Astyanax mexicanus: one gene and its partner. Each later gene encodes a partner of the first gene's protein in a complex. Links are inferred from orthologs where the notes say so. Each region holds a gene or a part of one and is shown on either strand. Other genes may lie near its edges. The genes, in order: kras and mapkap1.

Evidence for each region.
Region 2: the proteins of kras (region 1) and mapkap1 are in contact, whole or in part, in a crystal structure (PDB 7LC1), measured with the Homo sapiens proteins. The link is inferred for Astyanax mexicanus from reciprocal best matches to the Homo sapiens genes KRAS and MAPKAP1. Residues at the interface, in NP_001356715.1 of Homo sapiens: Ile21, His27, Val29, Glu31, Asp33, Pro34, Ile36, Glu37, Asp38, Ser39, Tyr40, Arg41, Leu56, Glu62, Glu63, Tyr64, Ser65, Ala66, Met67, Asp69, Gln70; in NP_001006618.1 of Homo sapiens: Phe280, His287, Gly288, Phe289, Ser290, Leu291, Ile292, Gln293, Lys307, Lys310, Arg311, Arg312, Lys313, Gly314, Ser315, Phe363, Glu365, Ile369, Val374, Met377, Leu378, Ser380, His381, Tyr484, Glu487, Ser488.

The regions. Positions count from the first base shown.
Region 1 is NC_064409.1:62,222,684-62,232,986, forward strand, and holds the start of kras (GTPase KRas), read left to right. Parts: upstream 1-5,750; 5' UTR 5,751-6,175; intron 6,176-6,181; exon of another isoform or gene 6,182-6,511; intron 6,512-8,943; 5' UTR 8,944-8,950; coding exon 8,951-9,061; intron 9,062-10,303. UniProt on the Homo sapiens protein: Ras proteins bind GDP/GTP and possess intrinsic GTPase activity. Plays an important role in the regulation of cell proliferation.
Region 2 is NC_064408.1:21,739,480-21,750,155, forward strand, and holds the start of mapkap1 (target of rapamycin complex 2 subunit MAPKAP1), read right to left. Parts: upstream 4,017-10,676; 5' UTR 3,684-4,016; intron 1,022-3,683; 5' UTR 855-1,021; coding exon 581-854; intron 1-580. Other genes in the region: pbx3a (pre-B-cell leukemia transcription factor 3), read left to right, coding at 10,004-10,206. UniProt on the Homo sapiens protein: Component of the mechanistic target of rapamycin complex 2 (mTORC2), which transduces signals from growth factors to pathways involved in proliferation, cytoskeletal organization, lipogenesis and anabolic output.

The DNA of each region.
Region 1 (10,303 bases):
AATGAAGAACTTAGTATCACTGATAGCATCACAAAACATTATGACATTAGATTTTAATTTTAGGTCAAATGAATATAAATATTTTAAGTATGGAAATGTAAAGCTTGTAACTGTGTGATGGTGATTCAGTGCTGACTTTATGCATTAGAAAATCTGACCACTATCAGATGAAATAATTTTTTACAAATACAAATGAAACACAACCCCTCCCCCTATATCTTGCAAAAGCCATTTTAAACAGAAGTCTTTTCCAGGCAAGGCCAGCTCACCTTCTGTGGTATTAAACCGCAGAGCTCTGCCTTGGCTCTTGTAAACCTTTTTCAGAGTTTCTGGAATCCCGTCTTGGCTAGGATGTTTTAATAAACTCAAGAATAGCCTCCCCCCCAAGTTAGGAGGTCAGAACTGGCAGACCAGCTAACATCTGGATGGCACGTTTAGCTGGATATAATGCCGCCTTTGTTCATTTGCCATGATAGTGAATGGCAGGCAAGTTTTAAAGCACCAGCCTTCTGGAGAAACAGTGCTGTTGGATGAAGCGTTAAGGTGCTAGGTTTGTCCATATGGTTAATATTTATATTCTCTGATCTCATCTCTCTAAGCAGTAACTCATAAAACTCATATGTTTTTGAGAGCACCTCAGAATTCTCAAAAAATAACAGGACTGACTAGATATCAGAGCCAGACACAGCCTAGCAATCAGAGAACTGAGCGATATAACTAAAAATAAGAAATGGTGATAGGCGATATGATACATGATGAATATTATAACAGAATATAATAGTAAATTGTCAGCATTGGTTTTTTTTTTACACCAAAAACACATTGTAGATATTAACAGTGAAGAACCTAACGGTGTATCTAAGAAATATATATAAATTTAGTTTTAAATATAACACAACTGCACTCTTTGTGGTATGTCAGACTGCACAAACAGCACTAAATTATGTTGTCTGATATAGTAAAAAATAAAGTCATCATGCTGTTCCTTAAATCACAATGTTTTACGACATAATTTGCACAAGACTGTACTATGTTAAATGTAATTCCTTCAGAACCCTAACCACTGGCATCCCAACAACCAAAGTATGAGTTAAATTGCAAAAATATGGTACCCTGTGCAGCAGGCGTAATAATAAAATATGGCCATTTTTATATCTGGTGTATTGTAACATATAGTAATATATCTTGTATAAAACTGTAACATATTGCACACCTAATCAGTCAACAATCATGAACTCATGTTAAAAACTAATGTTCTCTAACAAGTAAACAATTAAAAGATTCAAGAGCAAAAAAATACAATACAATCCTCCCTGTTGTCTCACTCCTTATGTCACTCTTTATAACACTGTTTCACTCTTATGTCATTCCTTTTATCATGCACCTTTAATTACACATTATGTCACTACTTGTTCTCACCCTTTTTGCCCCCCTTATATCGTACTCCATGGGTCACTCCTCTCTCTCATTCCTTGGGGCAGCCCTTGTACCTCAATCCTTTAGTTACACCCCTTATGCAATTTCTTTGTCTCACTGCTTGTAGCACTATTTTCATCACATCTTTTCACTCCCTTCAGCAATTTCTTTATTGGACTCCTCGCCACTCTCATTGCTTGTACTGCACTCCATTTGTCACACTCATTATGATACTATTTTCACTAATTATATTACCTTTTTACTTACTTTGGCACATCCTGTATCTCATTCAGTGGCACTTCTTTTATCACTCCATATGTAACTCCTTATATTACTGTTCTTGTACTGCACTCCTTATGTTATTTTTCTTTAGGGCACACCTCACACCTTTTTTGTAACCCTACACGGGTCTCCCCTTTTTCTTTCAGACCTTAGGGGACAATCCTTACACCTCACTTATTTTGTCACAACCCTTGTGCCAGCATTTGTTTTTATTTCACTACGTATATCCCTTTCCTTTATGTGAATCAAATTTGCTCTTTTTTCTCACTCTACTTATATCACTCATTTTATCTCACTCCATGGGTCACACCTTTTCCCTTGTATCCTAGGGCATCCCTTACATACTCTCTACTTATGCCAAATATTTTTTATTTTGGGGCTGTTTTTTTTTTAAAAGAGAGTGATCCTTGATTATGATTTTAGTTCTTACATGACATCAAATGGAAACAGACAGCACAATTTAAAGTGATGTGCAAGCTATTGTTTTCTTTACCTTTGATTTAGCTTTGATCCTAAATGAGGTGCCACAAGAGTTCTTTACAGGTTTCTGAAGGAAGATAATGTTTATCTACTGAGATTTCCTCTATATATAAAGATGTGCAATCTTGATTATCCAATTTTGAAAAAAAGTTGCATTTAATCAGTAAATAACCTCCCAGCCCTATTATATCCCATGCAGTTTTTTTTTTGCGTTTTTTCCCCCTTAAACATCTCACTTCTTTATAATATCTCACTATTTTATATATCACTCCTAATGTCATTTCTTTCTTTAAGCTATATTTTCTGACTCCTTGTGTCACTCCTTCTTTTCTTATTAGTTAACTAAGCTATGTCACTCCCCTGTTCTCATCTTGTAGGTCACTCCTTTCGTTCAACAGTAAAACATGAAGCTGTTTAGTGAGGGTAAATTCAGACTGTCAACTGTTTTTTTCCATACTGAAGTCAATAAATGAGCACTAAACTAAACTAGTGAATCAGTGAGGTCAGTTAAACTACACTGACTTCAGATTATACAGTGTGAAACAGTGAGGCGGGTAAACTTTAGAAACTGGTAAGATTTAGACTCAGTATAAATCCAGTGATGTTGTTTTTAAAACGGTTCAGTAAGTTTGTTTTCGATTCTTCTCGTTTTTTTCGTGTTTTGTCCAGGTTAAAACTGGTAATAGCTGTGAGAGACACAAGACGGGGTAGTGTATTCTTACCTTAATACTGTAAACACGCAGCTCTGCTCCTCCTCAGACTGCTCGGACTGTCCGCTGGCGACCTCCTCTGAAGTTTTCTCCTGGAGAAAGCGCGCTGTTCATTCTACAGAGCACAGCTCTCTCTCTCTCTGTCTATCCGGAGCGGGATATCCGTCTGAACTGCTCTACAGCAGCAGCAGGAGGAGAAAAGCTGGGAGTGTTTCCTGCAGCAGAGGAGCGGCTGGAGTGAGAGTGGAGTGCGGAGCGCTGCAGTCAGATAGTCTCTCTCTCTTTCTGTCCCGCAGGGGGGGAAGTTTTCACTGCGAGCAGCTCAGAGAGGCAGCGAGAGGGGAAAACACCCCCACAGCCCCTCAGCACGGGAATGGACACAGCGCAAAGCATGCTGGACTCTTTTAAAGACACACTCGAGAGTCAGAGACCCAGCACAGAAAAATCTCTGCCCCTTAAAACTACATCTTTAACGCTGCTGTGGGTGTACTGATTTATCATTTACAGCCATGGGCCATGCTGGAAAAAATAATGTGTGTGTGTGTGTGTTTAAATTAGGAAATGCAGCTAGCTATGTAAGTTTTAAGTCTCACAGGCTGTTTGTTACGTGAGAGCATGAAGCCCCCACTGCAGCCCACTCTCTGTTTACGAATAAGATTGCACAACCTTATCCAGATCTTCCCACTCCAACAACAGGACATATCAGATGCTAAAGTCAGTTTTGTTACTAGTTTATGTTTTTTTTTTTTAATATTTGGACCTTAAACACATTCACTCAAATAAAAAAAACTAAAATAATATCACAATAATTAGCTAGTTATTTTTACGCGTTGCATTTCGAGTGTTTAATAGTGAACTATACAGGGAAGAAAATTGTTAACTGTAATATTTTAAACAGCACACCCTATAGCGCACAATTTCTGTAATAGGGTGCACATTTTTAAACACAGCTTAGGTCTTTTGGTTAGTGTGCATTTTGGTGAGAAATCACACCACCCAAATTGCTGCAAAACTTAGTATGCAGTCAGGTCTCAGGCACATACTAATTTTCACTTCTTTATTATTAGGTTGTAATCCAATCCAATACCTGGCTTGGCTAATCAGTACATATGCAAAATTTTGTTACCCCTGGGCAAAATATTGGTTACTGAAGCTAAAAGAGTAAATGACCTCATTTTCAAAAGGCAGAAAGATAAATCTGAAACATTAATTTGTCTTCAAGGTTACATTTTAGTTAAAATTTAAAAAAAAATGAGTTATTTTTTGTTTTTACTTTAAATTGTACATAGTAGACAAATTTTGATTAAAATAATCTTTAAATTTTGTCAACTTTTTGCTTTCACCTTACAGTTCTTCTGCTTTTGTTTTCTCAGCATATCTCATATCTATTTCTTTTCTGGTTTTAACCATTTTTCCTTAATTTACATCTGGCAGCTTTTTTTTTTATATATATTTATATACTTATAGAATTTTTCCAAAATGACAAATCCTATATAAAACCTCTGTACATTGACAGTTACGATTTTTTTTTTTTCATTTTACTGTAAAGCTGCCTTTATTAAAGATGCTTTTTTGCATGACAACACCTATTTACTGTTAACTTTCCGATGAATAATACGTTATATTTAAAATGAAGATATATTCGATTATGCTTTAACTAGATTTACGTGAATGCTTATACTGACACCCTGTGCCTCATACAGGAACTGCTATGGGTGCTTAAAATAATAATAATAATAATAATAATAATAATAATAATAATAATAATAATAATAATAATAATAATAATAATAATAATAATAATATTTTTGTTTTATATTTTGTTATTTAAAATAGTTAAAATGGATCAACGCGGATGGTGAATATTTATATTTTATGCCCGAGGAGAGACTACCAGCTACACATGGTCTATTACATAAAGAAACTTCAACGGAGTAAACAATAAGAGTATTTCCAGAAGCTTCTCTCAGTGTTCAGTCCTAAGGAGCAGCACGGATTCCTCAGACTGACTAGAGACATCCCCGTCAGCCCAGTTGTTTTTCAGGCAGCTGGAAATAGCTCATCCACTAATTTTGAAAAAATGTAAGCATCATCTGTCCGACTAATAAACATGTGGGAGGGGCAGGTTTCGGCCCAGTGCGTTTTTTTTGTGAAAACGAATGTAGTACACGATTGAATATATATTCAATCTATATTCAATATATATAAGTGCATGCATATAATAGTGTACCCAAGACAGAAATAATAATATTGCTAGAATGATAATATAGTTACACAAATATTTAATATTTTAAAAAAGAATATACACACACGCTTTAACAGATTTAATAGAGTGTAGTTTGTTTGTTGTTGTTTCGAAGATGAATTTATAGTTTAATATAATGTTCCATCTGTTTTACAAAGGCAACAAAACTATTTCACCTGAAATGATATTTTATCTAAAAAAAAAACTTGACAAGTATGTTTATATTTATATTATTCACTAAAATGCTAAAAATCTACTAATTAATATATGCTCCCAAAATAAAAAAAAAACACTACTTTACCAGTTCTATGAGTGATATAATGAACCTGCCAAAATTGTTTAACACTTTAACAATGCCAAATTACTAACTATTAAGCTGGATATATTTGATGTATTCATTTATATGGCACATCTTAAATTTTATTAGTAATCAGATATATTTAAGAAACCACATGAGGCAGAGTAACAACACTATTTTAGAACAACCCAGTTGCGGTACACGCATTGGTCCCACGGCCTCGTGATCGATAGCGCGTTCAGCCAATCAGATTCATGCATGGGGGCTGACGTCTGTCCAAGACGTCCCCGGTTATATTTAGGGCCTATTTAAGCTCGGCTACACTCAGCGTCCCGCTGCTTACAATGGTGCTTGTCAAAAGCCGGTTACAACACTGTGCTGACTTTTCGCTTTGCTTCGTTTGGTTAGGCTGCACCGACAAGCCTGCAGTGATTTAAAGGGGGTTGTCTGTAAAAGCTCTGAAAAGCTATTTTTAAAAGTTAGTATGAACCGATGACGCCCTGTCGAGCTGCATTGTTCTGCATCGCCTGTTATTGAAGGGATATCGATCTGGTCACAGTGTGCCCTTAAGGCAGCAGCAGCGTGCAGAATGAAAGATGCAAGCTGAGGCTTGGAATTAGTAGTAGTAGCAGGTCGAGAGGGCTGCGCAGCTCATGTACACGTTTTAGGCTTGTCGTCCAGCCTTTAGGAAGTACCGAAACGAGCCAGGAAAGCCCGCCCGTGCTGTGGTGCACTGCTCCCTGGGTAAGTGATCTTAGCGCTGGGCTGCGCTCAGCCACACCGTATCCGCCCATATTTTGTGTGTGAAGCTCAGTCGAGAGCAGGGAGCGAGCGAGCGAGCGAACAGGCCGAGGAATAAAACACCACAGTCCCCGCTGCGGAAAATAGGCTCGGGTAGGCGGTTAGTGAGCTAGTCAGCTTCACAGGCGCAGCATCGAGATAAACTAGCTAGCTAGTTAACTACCTAACCTCGAAGCAATGACCGGCTCGGGTCTGAGGAGCGGACTGTAGGCTGTGGGCTCGAACGCTGGGCTAATATTATTCGTGGACGCGGAACTCGGCTAAGCTAAAACACTGAAGGTAGGTACTAGCTACAGAAACGCTAAACAAAAAACAGTAACGGCTAATTACAGTGTGCACGACCGAACTCGAGCCTGTTGTGTTTAGTGCTGTAAATGCTAACTCTCAAGCTATTGTTTTTGGTAAACTAGCTAAGCTAGCTCAGCTGTTGAGGCTGTAGGTTAGCTTAGCCACCTAGCTAGTTAACTAGCCAAGCTGGCTAGCTGGTTAGCTTAGCTACCGTCCATAGCTACCCGAGAACGCCCCAGTCAGTCAGTCAGGCCCTGTTTGACCAGTGTACCGTTTATCGGGCCTATTTTCGGACAGTTTGAGGCTAAATTCTTAAATAAAAAAATATAAGTGAATTGGCAGTACGTCAAGTTTTTTCTATTTCTGTATCATCTTAAAAAATGCATTTTCACCTTGTTGGCTTTTAAATTGAAAATGGTGTAATCCAAACTGATTGTTACAATATGCAGATTGTGAGAAGCAAAAAAAAAAAGCTTTACTATACTAAATGAATAAAATGAAATAATGAGGTTTTACTCTCAATTTCAGATTTCAAATTAAGCCTCGAATAGTCAAAAAATGGATACACTTATAAACTCTTAGTTAAACGTAACACACAAACCTTATTTCTTAATAGATCCTCTAAGTTATTCCTAACAAAGTCAAAGATATGCACTTTTTTACTTAAGTTTTACCTTTGTCATATTTTCCCTTTCTGTTTAGTGGAGCTAAAAGGTTTATACGTTTATTTGTTACATTTGATTTAACAGAGTTTTGGAATGAGGGAAAGATTATGCTTATTAGTTTCTCAGCCTTTAAAAATTGTGTTCCTAATAATAATTCAGTGTTTTCCTTTTGTCTCAAATCTAATTGGAGACAGTCGAATGATTCTTTAGAACTCTTGGTGATTTTAGGAAAGTTCTTCATTCACAAATGTTGCGCGATTAAACGTAAAGGCCCAGATTAAAGCTGTAGTTACTTTCAATGTTCTGAGATTGTATCTGCCAGAGACTTAATTTAACTTTATTTATTAATGAATTGATTTTTCTGTTTTTCCATTGCTGTTTGTGTTCTTTTACTGCGTCTAATGCTTTAGAATGGACTTAACGTGATATCCGTATGCCTTTCTTGAAAACAAAATTTGTTCTTGCTTTAGGAACATTGCCATGCATCTGTATGATGGATGATGGTGAAACAACCAAAAGCTTCTGACTAGCTAGATAAAGAACCCTTAACATACCCCTTGTTTTCTTTTTCTTTGTTTTTGACAGTTGTTTTCTATTGTCTTCTGAAAGTGGCCACAAAAGTGGTTGGTGGTGTGTTGGGTTTATGTTCTTCTCTGGTTAGCCATCTTTGTTTGTAGGACTTTGCTGGTTTTTAAGTGTTGCTTAAAATCGTAGCCATTGTCATTCAAGAGTTAAAAACGAAGGCCTGGTCTCCAAATGATGACCTGTGTGCATTGTAGTCTGATCACAACAGACACTGTCTATTTCCCATAATCTTGTGTGGAAGTGTGGAATTATTTAATGGATGATTGACAAACATGATGACTCTCCAGATACAGATAGGATTAGGCCTGTGTTTGAGACAGTTTAAACCAGTCAGTGCTGCTTTCTCTTTTTAAGAGTCCAGTGGAAAATCATATTGATATAGTATTAGTTTTAACCTGTACGTAAAAATATAGAACTTTCGATAAAGGCGTACATTATTCTTAAACCAAGGTTCTTGGCTCAGTCTGGATTGAAGGAATGGCTCACCCAAGTGTCAAATTTACACTTTTACCCTTAAGTGTAGTCAATCAGCTGTGACTTGTTTGGTGTGTACAGTAAGCCTTTTCTATTAATGTATACATCAAATTGTGCACTAAAATTAGCAACTACATTTTTCTGCCACCCATAAGTCCAGACTGATTAATTACATTTGGAGTAAAGGTCAAATGGTATAAATATTTTTTTTTCTTTTTTGCTGGTGACTCCCAAATGTGCTGTAGACAGTGTGGTGTGACTAGTTTTTTTAGTCCAGACCTCTGTTTGCGTTGGTGTGACTCACACACAGTAAAAAATCACCTGTGTGGGAACTACTCGATGATTTAAGCCGTCCTTTCTCGACTGAAATTCAAGTACTGTAATTATGATTGCTGAAGTCATTGGACACCTTTCAGTGAGCGTTGTGCTGTGGTAAACTGTGCATGTGATTCAGCACAGCTCAGCATTTTAAGTTTATAATGGAAAGGAAAGACATAATGTAGTGAAGAAGTTACAAAAGCTGGTCTGTTTTCAGAGGCTCCTGAAGGTAGCTCACTGTAAACACTTAAATTGAACATAAGTACCAGTTTAAAAAATTAAGAAATTGGTAACCATGTAATGTGGGGTCTAAAGCATTGCTTTTTGGTGGTAAATCTGAATGTTACTGACTATAGTTTTTGTGTACTTTGTTCATTTCAGGTGAAGAATGACTGAGTATAAATTGGTGGTGGTGGGTGCTGGAGGTGTGGGCAAGAGCGCTCTTACCATCCAGCTCATCCAGAACCACTTTGTGGATGAATACGACCCAACTATAGAGGTAAATTGTGGTTAATTATGTAGTATACATTAAAAGTCATACCTTTCACAACCTTATATTGTCAAGATATATTTGTATAATGTAGGAAGATGATATTTATATTCTGCTGTAGGTCAGTACTCATTTTAATGGTCATTGCGTTGCTTGTGTGTAGATGTCATAGTTTATTACTTACATACTAGTCTAAATAGGAATTACAGAGCTTTGTGATATACTTTGTGGTTGTTGCTCGCTGAGATTCTGTGTTACCACTGTTCCCACCTCCAAATGCCATCATCCTACCCCAAAGAGAAAACAACTTAATAGAAAACATAATGGTGGTGTAAAAACTGAGCTGGTTTTTCTAGTTTCAGCCACCACTGGTTCCTTACTTCCTGGTCTAAGTATGCAGTAGCACGTGTCTGAGTAATTGATGTATTTTTTTAAGCACTAAGAAATAACCTGTTGCTCTCAGAGCACAAGTGTAATCTATTAATCTGTGCTTACACCTACTGGGAGATAATGTTTCACTGCGCCCTCGCCGTATTTTAGTGAGTATTCTATCAATGTTATTCATCGAAATTAATCTATTTAAGCTATGATGTTGCTGTGTTGGGATACTGTTGTGAAATGCTGTATACAGTCTTATAGGCTTCCTCAATTAGTGCGGGCAGTATCTAATGGTCTGGGATGTTGAGATTGACAGTATTTGAGGATGCAGCCTGTTAGACATGTCAATTTTCTATGCATTTATGAGCAAGTTATGCCTCTTAAGTTATTCCTATTATTAGTATAAGATTAAGTATAAAGGTTTTTTATATGCATTCTAGTTTATATTACAGTACAGTACAGTGCAGTGCATTGCATTTAGAGGACATAGAAGAAAAACATTTTAGAAGGGCAAAGGGTAATGGTGGGATGGAGAAGAAAAAAGGGGGATTATTTTATTGGGATTCATATTTAGCAGTTTTTGTAATACTGTGAATCATATATTCACCATTGATTTTATGTTTGTATTAATGTATTAATTTATTGTTAGATGGTTTCTTACAGCCCTTCCCTTTTAAGTAGTGTTCCAAATATTCTTTCAGCGACGTTAGCAAGAGAGGTCACTGTTTGGTAGACTAGGGTATAGAGAGCTATTGACAGTTCAATACTGTCCTGAAAAAATGGCAGCCAGAGAAGTGTCAAAGTAAAGTTAATTAATTTCCATGCTGTAAAAGGAATAGCATTTAAGATGTTGGCTTGATAAAATTCAATAAG
Region 2 (10,676 bases), on another chromosome or scaffold:
GTATATGCCAGATATGGTCTAAGGCCAGAGTGGAAACAACCGAAGCTTTATTCTCTCTGTTGGTGCTTTAAAGTTTGGTTCTCAGTAATGCACAATGCACAAAAAAAAGAAAAAACTATTTGTATCAGTGCATCTCTGAGACAGAGGCAAAAGTTTTATTATGATTTAGCAGGATATTAGGCTTAATCATGCCATCCACATAGACTGATTCATAGCAGTAAGTCAATCTGAGCAAGTTTATTTCTTATTTAGTCACACCAAGCTATTCAACATACACACAAAACCAGCATTAACCCACACCCAAATCAACTTGAGATTAATTATTGATTGCAAGGAAATAAACCATCATTATCCGGAGGGAGGAGCATGATTACTCAGTTTACAACAAAAATAAATGCCAACATTATGACACTAATTTGCAAGAGATTTCATTAATGTATTTTACCTATTATCCTCAATTCCCTTTAACCAGCATCAACTTGTATCAAAGCACACCAACAATGTTTCCCCAATGTTACCCATATGCCAATGCCCTAGATTCAGGACCCAGCACACTCTGACTATCTACACAGCCGCTTACCTGTGTTGGAGCGCCGACGGATTCCAAAGTCCCAGCTGGACGTGATGTCCATCGATTGAGAGAGGTCACAGGCCTGACCGTCTCCACTAACACTCCCATCCCCTAACACCCCCCCCATTGATACACTGCCAGTAGACACGGCAGCCGAATGGCACTTCTCTAAGTCCACGTCATGATCAATCAGCACCATCTCACACATGCCCGAGTCATCACTGGTTACATGGGATTGCCGGATGTGGGCCAGTATGATGGTGGGGTTGTCAAGGAAAGCCATCCTGTGTGGCAACTCCTGCTGCCACCCTCCACTCCTCACGCGCTCCTGTTCACGTGGGGGATTCTCTGGCACTTAACTGAGATCTGAGGCTGCTCCTTCTTCAACAGTGACACCCTCTTCCTTTTGGGTTTGATTGTTGCTCTCTGTGGTGGAGCATGTGTGCCTGCCTGCGAAAAAGAAAAATATTCAACATTTAATTTTATGAAATGTTCATACTTATTATAAATGCCCAATTTTAGTTCGGGTCATCCGACACTAGCTGCTTTATAAAAAAAAAAAGAAAAAAAAAAGTATGAAGATGGGCATCATACCTATTGGTAGACACTTACCCCTAGCCATTATTAAATGTGCATTATTAACAAAGAAGCTTGTCATATTCTATTATGATCTGTGTTCAAAATGTCAAAGGATCATTATCTTAATGCTCAAGTGATGCCAAGTTTGTTCTTCTTCAAGAATACATGACACAAGAGTTGTCATTATAATACTTTAGAAAAACTTTAGCCAAGCGATTTGGGGAGCTAAGGCTTATGAACATTCCATTGTATTACTCCACACTTTTTACAAAGGTTGTGAAAGGTCAGATCAGATAACCTTAAAGGTCAAGTCAACTTCTGGTTTTCAGATGCTAAAAACAGAAATCCAACACTTCTAGCACTGAATCACAACCATAGTTTGTTATAAACAATGCAAAGCACTCAAAATAGAATAGAATACAATGCAGGTAACTGGCACTTGTTGAACTACAAAAAATAAAGCAGCATTACAGTACTTTTACATCACTGCCAAAAAACAAATGCACACTTCAAGCATAACTTAAAAACTGATAGACACAGCCCAAATTTCTGAGGCAAAATATCATCCAGAACTAGCAAGCCAGAATAAGAGCATATTTTGGAGTCAATATATATTAATATAATTATTATAAACATTCATAACCCAATAATTCAGTTTTGAAAGCAAACAAATATTAATTAATTATTAAAACTTGTTTAACTAAAACTTGGAAAATGTGCACACAACAGATGATGCACTCTTACAACAGCTCACGCCCAGAGACAACATGACAACAAGCGTTAGCTAGCCTAGCTAGCAGCTGTTAGCTTAAAATACATATGCAAGTTCACAGGCTTGCTTTAACTAAGAGCCCAGTGGTTAGCTGGCTATCTTTATTTTGTATTTTTATTACATTTAACGTTATTGTCTTTATTAACAGTTTTTTTAGCCTTGTTCCTAATACTGCTAAGATTAGAAAGCTAAAACAGCAGGCTGGCTAGCTAGCTTTGCTAACTAGCTACTAGGCAAACAGCTGAATGTGAAACTGAATGTAGCTAACTGAACTCATCAGTTGGTGTGTGTTAACGTTTGATCTACACGTTTGTCCAGTTTCCCAGCTGAACGTCCCCTCAACTTTTTTAACCTACAGGTCCAACATGCACACAAACAAATGTAGCGAGCTAATGCGGGTAAGTTAGCTAGCTTTGGGACAAATAGCAAGATGTGAGACTGTGCTAGCGCTGGGTGGTTAGCTAGAGTTAGTTAGCTAGCTTATCGGGGTGTTTAGAAGACCAGGCCGAGGAAGTAGAAAGCAAACAAAGGGTTTTGTACCTAGATAACTAACTATCTAACTTAACTAACTACTAACTGCCTGAATAACTCTGTGTATAGTTGAGGCAGCTGGTAACCTAGCTAGTTAGCTTACAAAATCCTGGGAAGGAGTTTTAGCTACTTCACTCAAAACTTAAGGTTAACTAGCTAGATAACTAGATATACAGCTAAACAACACACTGGTTAGAAAGATAGGGTTAACTAAGTTAACCCACGCTAGCGTTAAATAACAACTGCTAGCAAACAACGCTATTTTATCTACATCAAGCCTACACCAAGCCAAGCCACTAGATGAGCTAGTTAGCTAGTTCATCTTTTTTTGTAAACAAATGTTAGCTATGGCTGCCTAGTTACGGCTTAAAACACAGCTACTAGCTAACCTAGCTAGGTTAGCTAATGCTAGTTTTAAGTTAACAGGGCTTGGTCTTATGCTATTTAGCAAACTAGCTAGCTAACGGTAGCTATATTAACTTGTGTACTGACCCAGCATTGCTAGCTAGATACCAACTGCCTGGATGACTGTGTACAGTTGAGGCAGCTGGTAACCTAGCTGTTATAGCTTACAGGAGTTTTAGCTACTTTTGACATGGATTTGGCAGCTAAGTTTCTTTTGGGGTAAAGGTTAACTAGCTAGCTAACTGCATATAACTACAGATAAACATATATGTTAGCTACACAACACATTAGTTACATGGTTAGGGTTAACTAACTTAACCCTGCTAATCACGTTAAATAACAGCTGCTAGCTAGCTAGGTTATTTACACCAAGCCTCCAGCAGAACCGCCCAGTAAGTTGTAGTTAACTAACCAAAAGGTAGGTAAGGGTATCTATTAACAAAGTCCTGGGATGTTTTTGTAGCGTAGGTAACCCATGTAACTTAACTTAACGTTACTCTGTGGACCTGGATTAGTTAGCTTATTTACCCATATTTAGAAGAGGAACACGCTCACACAAAGCCACTAGATTAGCTAATCTAGCTAGCTAGCTAGCTACTAAAATTGCTGACATTTTTTGGTAAACAAATGTTAGCTATGGCTGCCTAGTTACAGCTTAAAACACAGCCACTAGCTAGCTAGGATTGCTAGCTAGCTTCTAGATAACAGGGCTTGGTCTAACGCTATTTGGCAAGCCTATCTAGCTAGCTACTTGTCTACTGACCAAGCCTAGCTAGCTAGCCAGTTAGCTAGCTAAACAAACCAATGTTAGCTAACGTAGATTACCTTCATGCATTCCCAGACCGACTGCTGAATATATCCACACTCTGTAACAGCAGGAGTACAGCCATAGCTGCTAAACGCCTCGTCCCATCGCCTCTCATGTGTATCATATACTCTCAGTAATAATACAGCATTTCCTCTGTTGTTATCACAGCTAATGGTAGGGGCTAGCTATTTCCGTCAAGTTTACCCTCGTACAGGAAGTGTAATGCATCAACGAGACGCGCAGGAACGCCCTCTGGGGAGCACGAGAAAAGCCCACCCTACTGTACTGTACTGTACTGTAGCTACTTCACTACACACTACTGAAGTGTACAGTAAGCTTGCTGCACTGCACTGCTGCTGATAGTGATGTAACAGTGCTGCACGTGGGCTCCACTTCTCATTTGATGTTTTCTTTCATTTTATGCTCATTCCAATGTCCAGCTCATCATAAATCACCCATCTCAGTTATGTTTAGGTCCAGAGACTGTGGAGGACAAACACCTTTTTCATTTCTTTAATATTAATATACAATGTAGAAAATACATGAAATAAAGAAATTAAAAAAACATATTCAGTGTCCAAAGTTTTAACTGGTAGCTACTCAACACTACTCTCTCAACACTGATAGCTGTCTAAAATGTATGCAGCTCTTGGAAAATAAGAGACCACGTCAGTTTCTGAATATGTTTCTCTGATTTTGCTATTTATAGGTAAATGTTTGAGTAAAATGAACGTTGTTGCTTTATTCTATAAACTACAGACAACATTTCTCCCAAATTCCAAATAAAAATATTGTCATTTAGAGCATTTGCAGAAAATTAGAAATGGCTGTAATAACAAAAAAGATGCAGAGCTTTCAGACCTCAAATAATGCAAAGAAAACAAGTTCATATTCATAAAATTTTCAGAAATTCAGAAATCAATATTTGGTAGAATAACCCTGGTTTTTAATCACAGTTTTTTGCATCCTTGCATGTTCTCCACCTACAGTTATTAAACAAATGGCACCCATTAAATCCCCATTAAAACCTAAATTAAATCTCTTTTAAAATAATTTAAATCATTTGAAGTAAACAATCATATTTTTACATTTATTAACTTAAATTATTCACTTTATTTTGATAGTTTTGCATATGTGCATACAATTTTGTTTCACAGTCAAGATTTCCTATGATGGCTGAAATAAGTCATTGCATTTATTTAGCTATTTTTGTTTTATTATTCCCTAATATTTAAATAATAACAGAAAATATACACATATAAACTGTTTAGACCACAAAACAGGCTAAATACAAGGCAGGAATAATGTTCCATGTAATGTTCCATAATTATTATTTGGATGTTAAAAACTCAAAAACTGAGTTTGAAAATCATGGTTAGTCCTGGCAAATCTTACAATTGACTTCAAAAACAGATATTACATGAATTGAAAGATATTATGTGAAAGCATATAATTTTTTTTTTTACTTCCCATGGTTACTTTTGAACTCGCCTCATCTGTAGAGCCGCTGAATGGACAGCAGAGGGTGCTGTTGCTTTAAGCTACTACAGCGCCTTGCACAGGCTCATGTGTCTGGATTACAAGTGACATTTGTGATGGGTCAGGTTTATTTTACAGATTGTCTGTTTGACTGTTTGACAGATCTGTATTAATATATCAAATATGTTATTTCTAATCCGAACAAAAAGCCTGAATAGTGTTATATGCATAAAAAAATAAAATATATTCACAGAAAAATAATTATTTAACTCTATTTTAATAAACTTCTTTAGCTAAGTCTGCTATGTTCTGGTCTGATCATAAACTGTGGGCTTTTAGACATATTTCTGATTAGATATGTGCTTTTTGAGGGCTTCTCACTACTGTGTGTTACATCATAGTTTTCTATATCACCAATTCACCCGCAGAGGAACTACCATCACCATGCTTTATGTCCAGTCCAAACCTAACAGTCCTCATTCAGTTCATCAAAAACTTGTGAAGGCAGTTATTGTGAGGGTGGAACAGGTGGAATAGGTTTCGAGAGGGCTGTGTTTGGTGGCAGGGGTGGAAAAGTCAGAAGCAATACGTTCTGCAATTAAAAAATATATTGTGGAGCCACACTATCATTCAGTGAAAGTCAGAAATCGTGGACATTTATTTATTATTTATTTTGTGACTGATGAATTGTAGATTAATATTACACCAGGATAAATAGCTTTTTTTATGAACAATGTCATTTTGCAATGATCTGATGTTCTTTGTGTTTTTTTAAGTAGAAACAATATGATTAAATGCTTGGAAACTTAACTCAATAACACGAGAAAAAGAGGAAAATCTAATTTTGTCTCTCAGGTGTAAAGAGTAATTAGGATGAGGTATTGTTTTCTCTTGGATATTTATTTGAATAAATGTTTCTAATAAAACAAATACCCAAGTATTGTGTCAAATGTCTAAAATAATCCTGTAAAATATAGAATTGGAGGTACAATCATTCAAGTGTAGAACTACAATAAATTGCATCCTTAGGTTTGTTTCTTGTGTGATCTTCTCAGACCTGTACTGATCAGATGTTTCCTGGCAGTGAGTATAAAATATATTACCCTGCTCAGGAGCTGCTCAGAGGACAATATCACTCTATACACACTCTCAACACTACACTGGTGTGACACAGTGGTGAGTACATTTATGATATCTTAATGCTGTTAGATCTCTCCACTGTGAACTCCAGCTGAGTTCAGCTTTATCTGAGCCGGCTTCTGCAGATCTCATTTACACCGTTTAACACAGTAAATATTCCCAGAGGAAAGAATGGTTCCAAATGAGGAGCTCCTCTTAATCTGATTTACTCCTCCCAGATTTTGTTAACTCCTGTTTTAAATCAGTGGGGGACAATTTCTTTTTCTGGTCGGCTCTTGAGAAACAGCCTGTTTTTCACTTTGATCACAAACTTGTCTCAGATATTTCCAACTGATCTCACTCCGACTCAGACAAATAAAACTATTAGATGTATTCCTGTATAACGGAAATAGAGCAGGGTCCTGTATAAACTGGCATGCCAAAAATCATGTGATGGGCATAATGTATATATATTTGTATAAGTTGTGAGGTCTCATCTTGTAAGTGAGGTTGAACACTGACCAGTGTGCTTGTGGGAGGATGGATAGGTCAGTGTAACATTGTTTATTCAATATTCATTTTAAACACCATTATGAAATAGCAACCTGTTTGCTGTTTTTGATTTTTTAAACAAGAAATCAGTGTCAAGTCAAGTCAAGTAGTTTTATTGTCAATACTGCATATGTACACTACATACAAAGAATTGAAATGATGTTACTCTCCTTCCCAATTTTACAGCAAGTACAGATAATAGATATAATAAAAGAGAATGGGAGACACTATGGGTACAATACAGCAGGGACACAAATATACATACATGAGACAAAAACAAGGTGCAGTGGTGTGGGGGAGAAATAGATATATAAATATAAGTAAAAAAAAGAAATAGATATATAATATAAAAGAGACATTATATGTACAATACAACAAGACACAATAAACATACGGAAGACGGAAGACAATAGTGCAATATTGGTGGTGATTGAGATGGAATGACAGTATAAATAGTATATAACAGTAGTGCAATATTTTATATTGCAAATATGGTATATGGTCACATGTGTAACAAGGGACCAGCGAAGTCTGGCTAGAATGGTAAAAAATAAGAGCCCACTTAAAAATGATGAGTTTCTTCTATTTTACCACATTTAAAAACCTCAGGAATATAATCAAAATATAAACCAATGTGAACTGCTTGAATTTTTGCAACAGAAGTGGCATAAAATTATCCAAAAGCAGTGTGTAAAACTGGTGGAGGAGAAAATGCCAAGATGCATTAAAACTGTGATTAAAATCCAGGGTTATTCCACCAATTATTGATTTCTGAAATCTTAGAACTTTATGAATATGAACTTATTTTCTTTGCATTATTTTGAATTTAGGTCTGAAAGCACTGCATCTTTTTTGTTATTTCAGCCATTTCAAATTTTCTGCATATACATGCTCCAAATTACAATATTTTTACTTGGAATTTGGGAGAAATGTTGTTCGTAGTTTATAGAATAAAACAACAATGTTCATTTTACTCAAACATATAATTATAAGTAGCAAAATCAGAGAAACTGATTCCGAAACTGAAGCAGTCTCTCTATGTTTTCCAGAGCTGTATATGCTTCAGGTCAGTGCAGTGTTCTTTAGCTTCCATAGGACATGGCTAAAGTAAAGAGGTACAGAACTAGTCCTATGAAATTTGGCACTTGCTAATTGATTGTTTGTTCTGAAATCGTAAGTTTATAAAAAGAGTTTTTTCATGCTTTTGTTGGATTGCCTCTACTCTCTACTGTCCAGGGAAGGATTTCTATTATATATATATTTTTTAATATTGCTGTGATGATTTTGTTGAATTCAGTGACTAGAGCTTTAGTGAGGTCAGTACCTTGGATGATCTCAACCTGATTCCAACTCATCTTCAACTCCCCAAAATTATCCCAGATGTTTTGGATGGAGCACCATCATTCAATGCTTGAGGGCTTTATACCCTTCTAACCACGTACTCAATCATGGGATTAGGCATTGTTAAGCCAGGAGGTTCACATTTACAGTTCTTATCTGGGGTGCTGTTAACTTGTGGTTGCTAAGGCTGGTAACTCTGATGAACTTATCCTGTGCCACAGAGATAACTCTTGCTCTTCCTTTCCTGTGGCAGTCCTGATTAGAGCCAGTTTCATCATAACATTTTTGATGATCTTTGTGACTGCACTAGAGGATACTTTAGTTTTTTCTTGATATAATATGGATTAAAACATTAATCAAATACTGCATACCAACTCTACCTCTTCACAACTTTACAACTGATGCTCTCAAACACTTTAAGAGGACAAGAAATTCTAATAATTAACTCCTGAAAGGTTCAGCACAGCTGTTAACTGAAAGCCTGAATTTCAGGTGACTCTACCTCATAAAACTGACTGAGAAAATCCACCCAAGATGTGCAAAACTGTCATCTATGCAGGAGGTGCCTATACTTTTAAAATAAATCAGCATTGATGATGGTAGAGTCTGACCACTGCACAAAGTCTTCTCCAGCACATCCCAAAGATTCTCAATGAGGTTAAGATCTGGACTCTGTGGTGAACTCTCAATCCATGTGTGAAAATGATGATCTCATACTCCCTGAACCACTCTTTCACAATTCCAGCCCCATGAATCTTGACATTGTTATCTTGGAATATGCCCGTCCCATCAGGGAAGAAAAAAATCCATTGATGGAATAACCTGGTCTATATTCAGTATAATTATTCAGGTAGTCAGCTGACCTCATTCTTTCAGCACATACTGTTGTTGAATCTAGACCTGACCAACTGCAGCATCAACCCCACATTATTTACTTATTTAAATCCAGGTGGAGTCTTTTTTTGGCCAGAGGGTGTAATTTCATAAGTTTTTCTTCATAGTTTGGATAATCTTGGTTCTATGAATGTAGAACTTCTAGGTTCTGTACATTCATTTAATCATTGAATTGGTGTTTTGTTGGTCAGTATTTGTGGTTTGTTGAAATGCTGTAGTGTTGGGTTTAGGAGCTGGATTGCTGGAATGGGTAGACGAACTCTTATATGTATTCAACCACAAGGGGGCGGAGCCTTCTACGTCCATCAACCATCTAACACAGAGAGAGCAGCCCGCGCAGATCGAGCAACAGTGAGACTGGGGTCTTCACCCAGCGAGCTCATACAGCTTCATATCTCCAGATATACACGGAGGATGAGACCAGCTTTATTTCCTGTTAATGGAAAGAGAGAATCCAGTGGGAAGAAGAGTAGAAGAGCCTGCTTTTCATGATCATTCCATTTATTCCACCCATTTCATCCGTTCTGTTGCGCTTGAGCTGGAAAGAGGGAATGGAAATATTTGTTTTTGGGATGCTGGTCTTCTCGGAGATGTATCTGAAGATGGATTTCTTTGCTTGAGTTCCGTGGAGGGAGTGTTTGAGGCGAACTGACCGAACAAAAGGATACATTCTTCACCAAGCAGCCTAATTAAACCTGGGGCAAAGTTTAGAATCTTACAGAACTATCTAAAGCTACCTGATTATTATTGCTGCATGGTTCTCTGTCCTTCTCCACGCGCTACCCATTGGATAGAAAAGAAGAAAAGAGCTTTGGAGAATCGTTTACGCACGGGACGCCCACGTCATTATCGGACAGTTATCGTGCACCGATGCTGCCCGCCTGACCCGTCCACCAGCCACGCTCCGGGGTGCACGTGAAGAGCGCGCGCGCATTGATTGTGCTGCGGCATCATGGACAGCATGGACGAGCAGTCCCACATCATGCAGTCTCTCGGCGGCGTGACCCTGAGCCGCGCGCTGCACGGCGGCATGGCGCTCGCGCCTTCGCTCGAGCACGAGAGCGCGGAGGAGGACGCGCGGAAACAGGACATCGGAGACATCCTCCACCAGATCATGGCCATCACCGACCAGAGCCTGGACGAAGCGCAAGCAAAGTTAGTTTATTACGCTCAATAGTAGTCTATTTATTCTAGTTTATTATGCTCAATATTAGGCTTTTTATTAAAGTTTATTATGCTCAATATAAGTATTTTTATTCTAGTTTATTATGCTCAATATACCTTTCTGTAGCGTTTACCAAATATATGTTGAGGTAACATTTCTCCCAAATTCCAAACAAAAATATTACCATTTAGAGCAGTTATTTGCAGAAAATGAGAAATGGCCGAAATAACAATCCCTATCCAAAGATGTTTTTCCCCATCCAAAGATGTTTTTCCCTATCCAAAGATGTTTTTCCTTTAAACTTATTTTACATTGTACTTGACTATTGTAAGTCGCTTTGGACAAAAGTGTCTGCCAAATGTAATGTAATGTAATGTAATGTAACAAAAAAGAGATGCTGAGCTTTCAGGCCTCAAATAATGCAAAGAAAACAAGATCATATTTATGGAGTTCTGGGAGT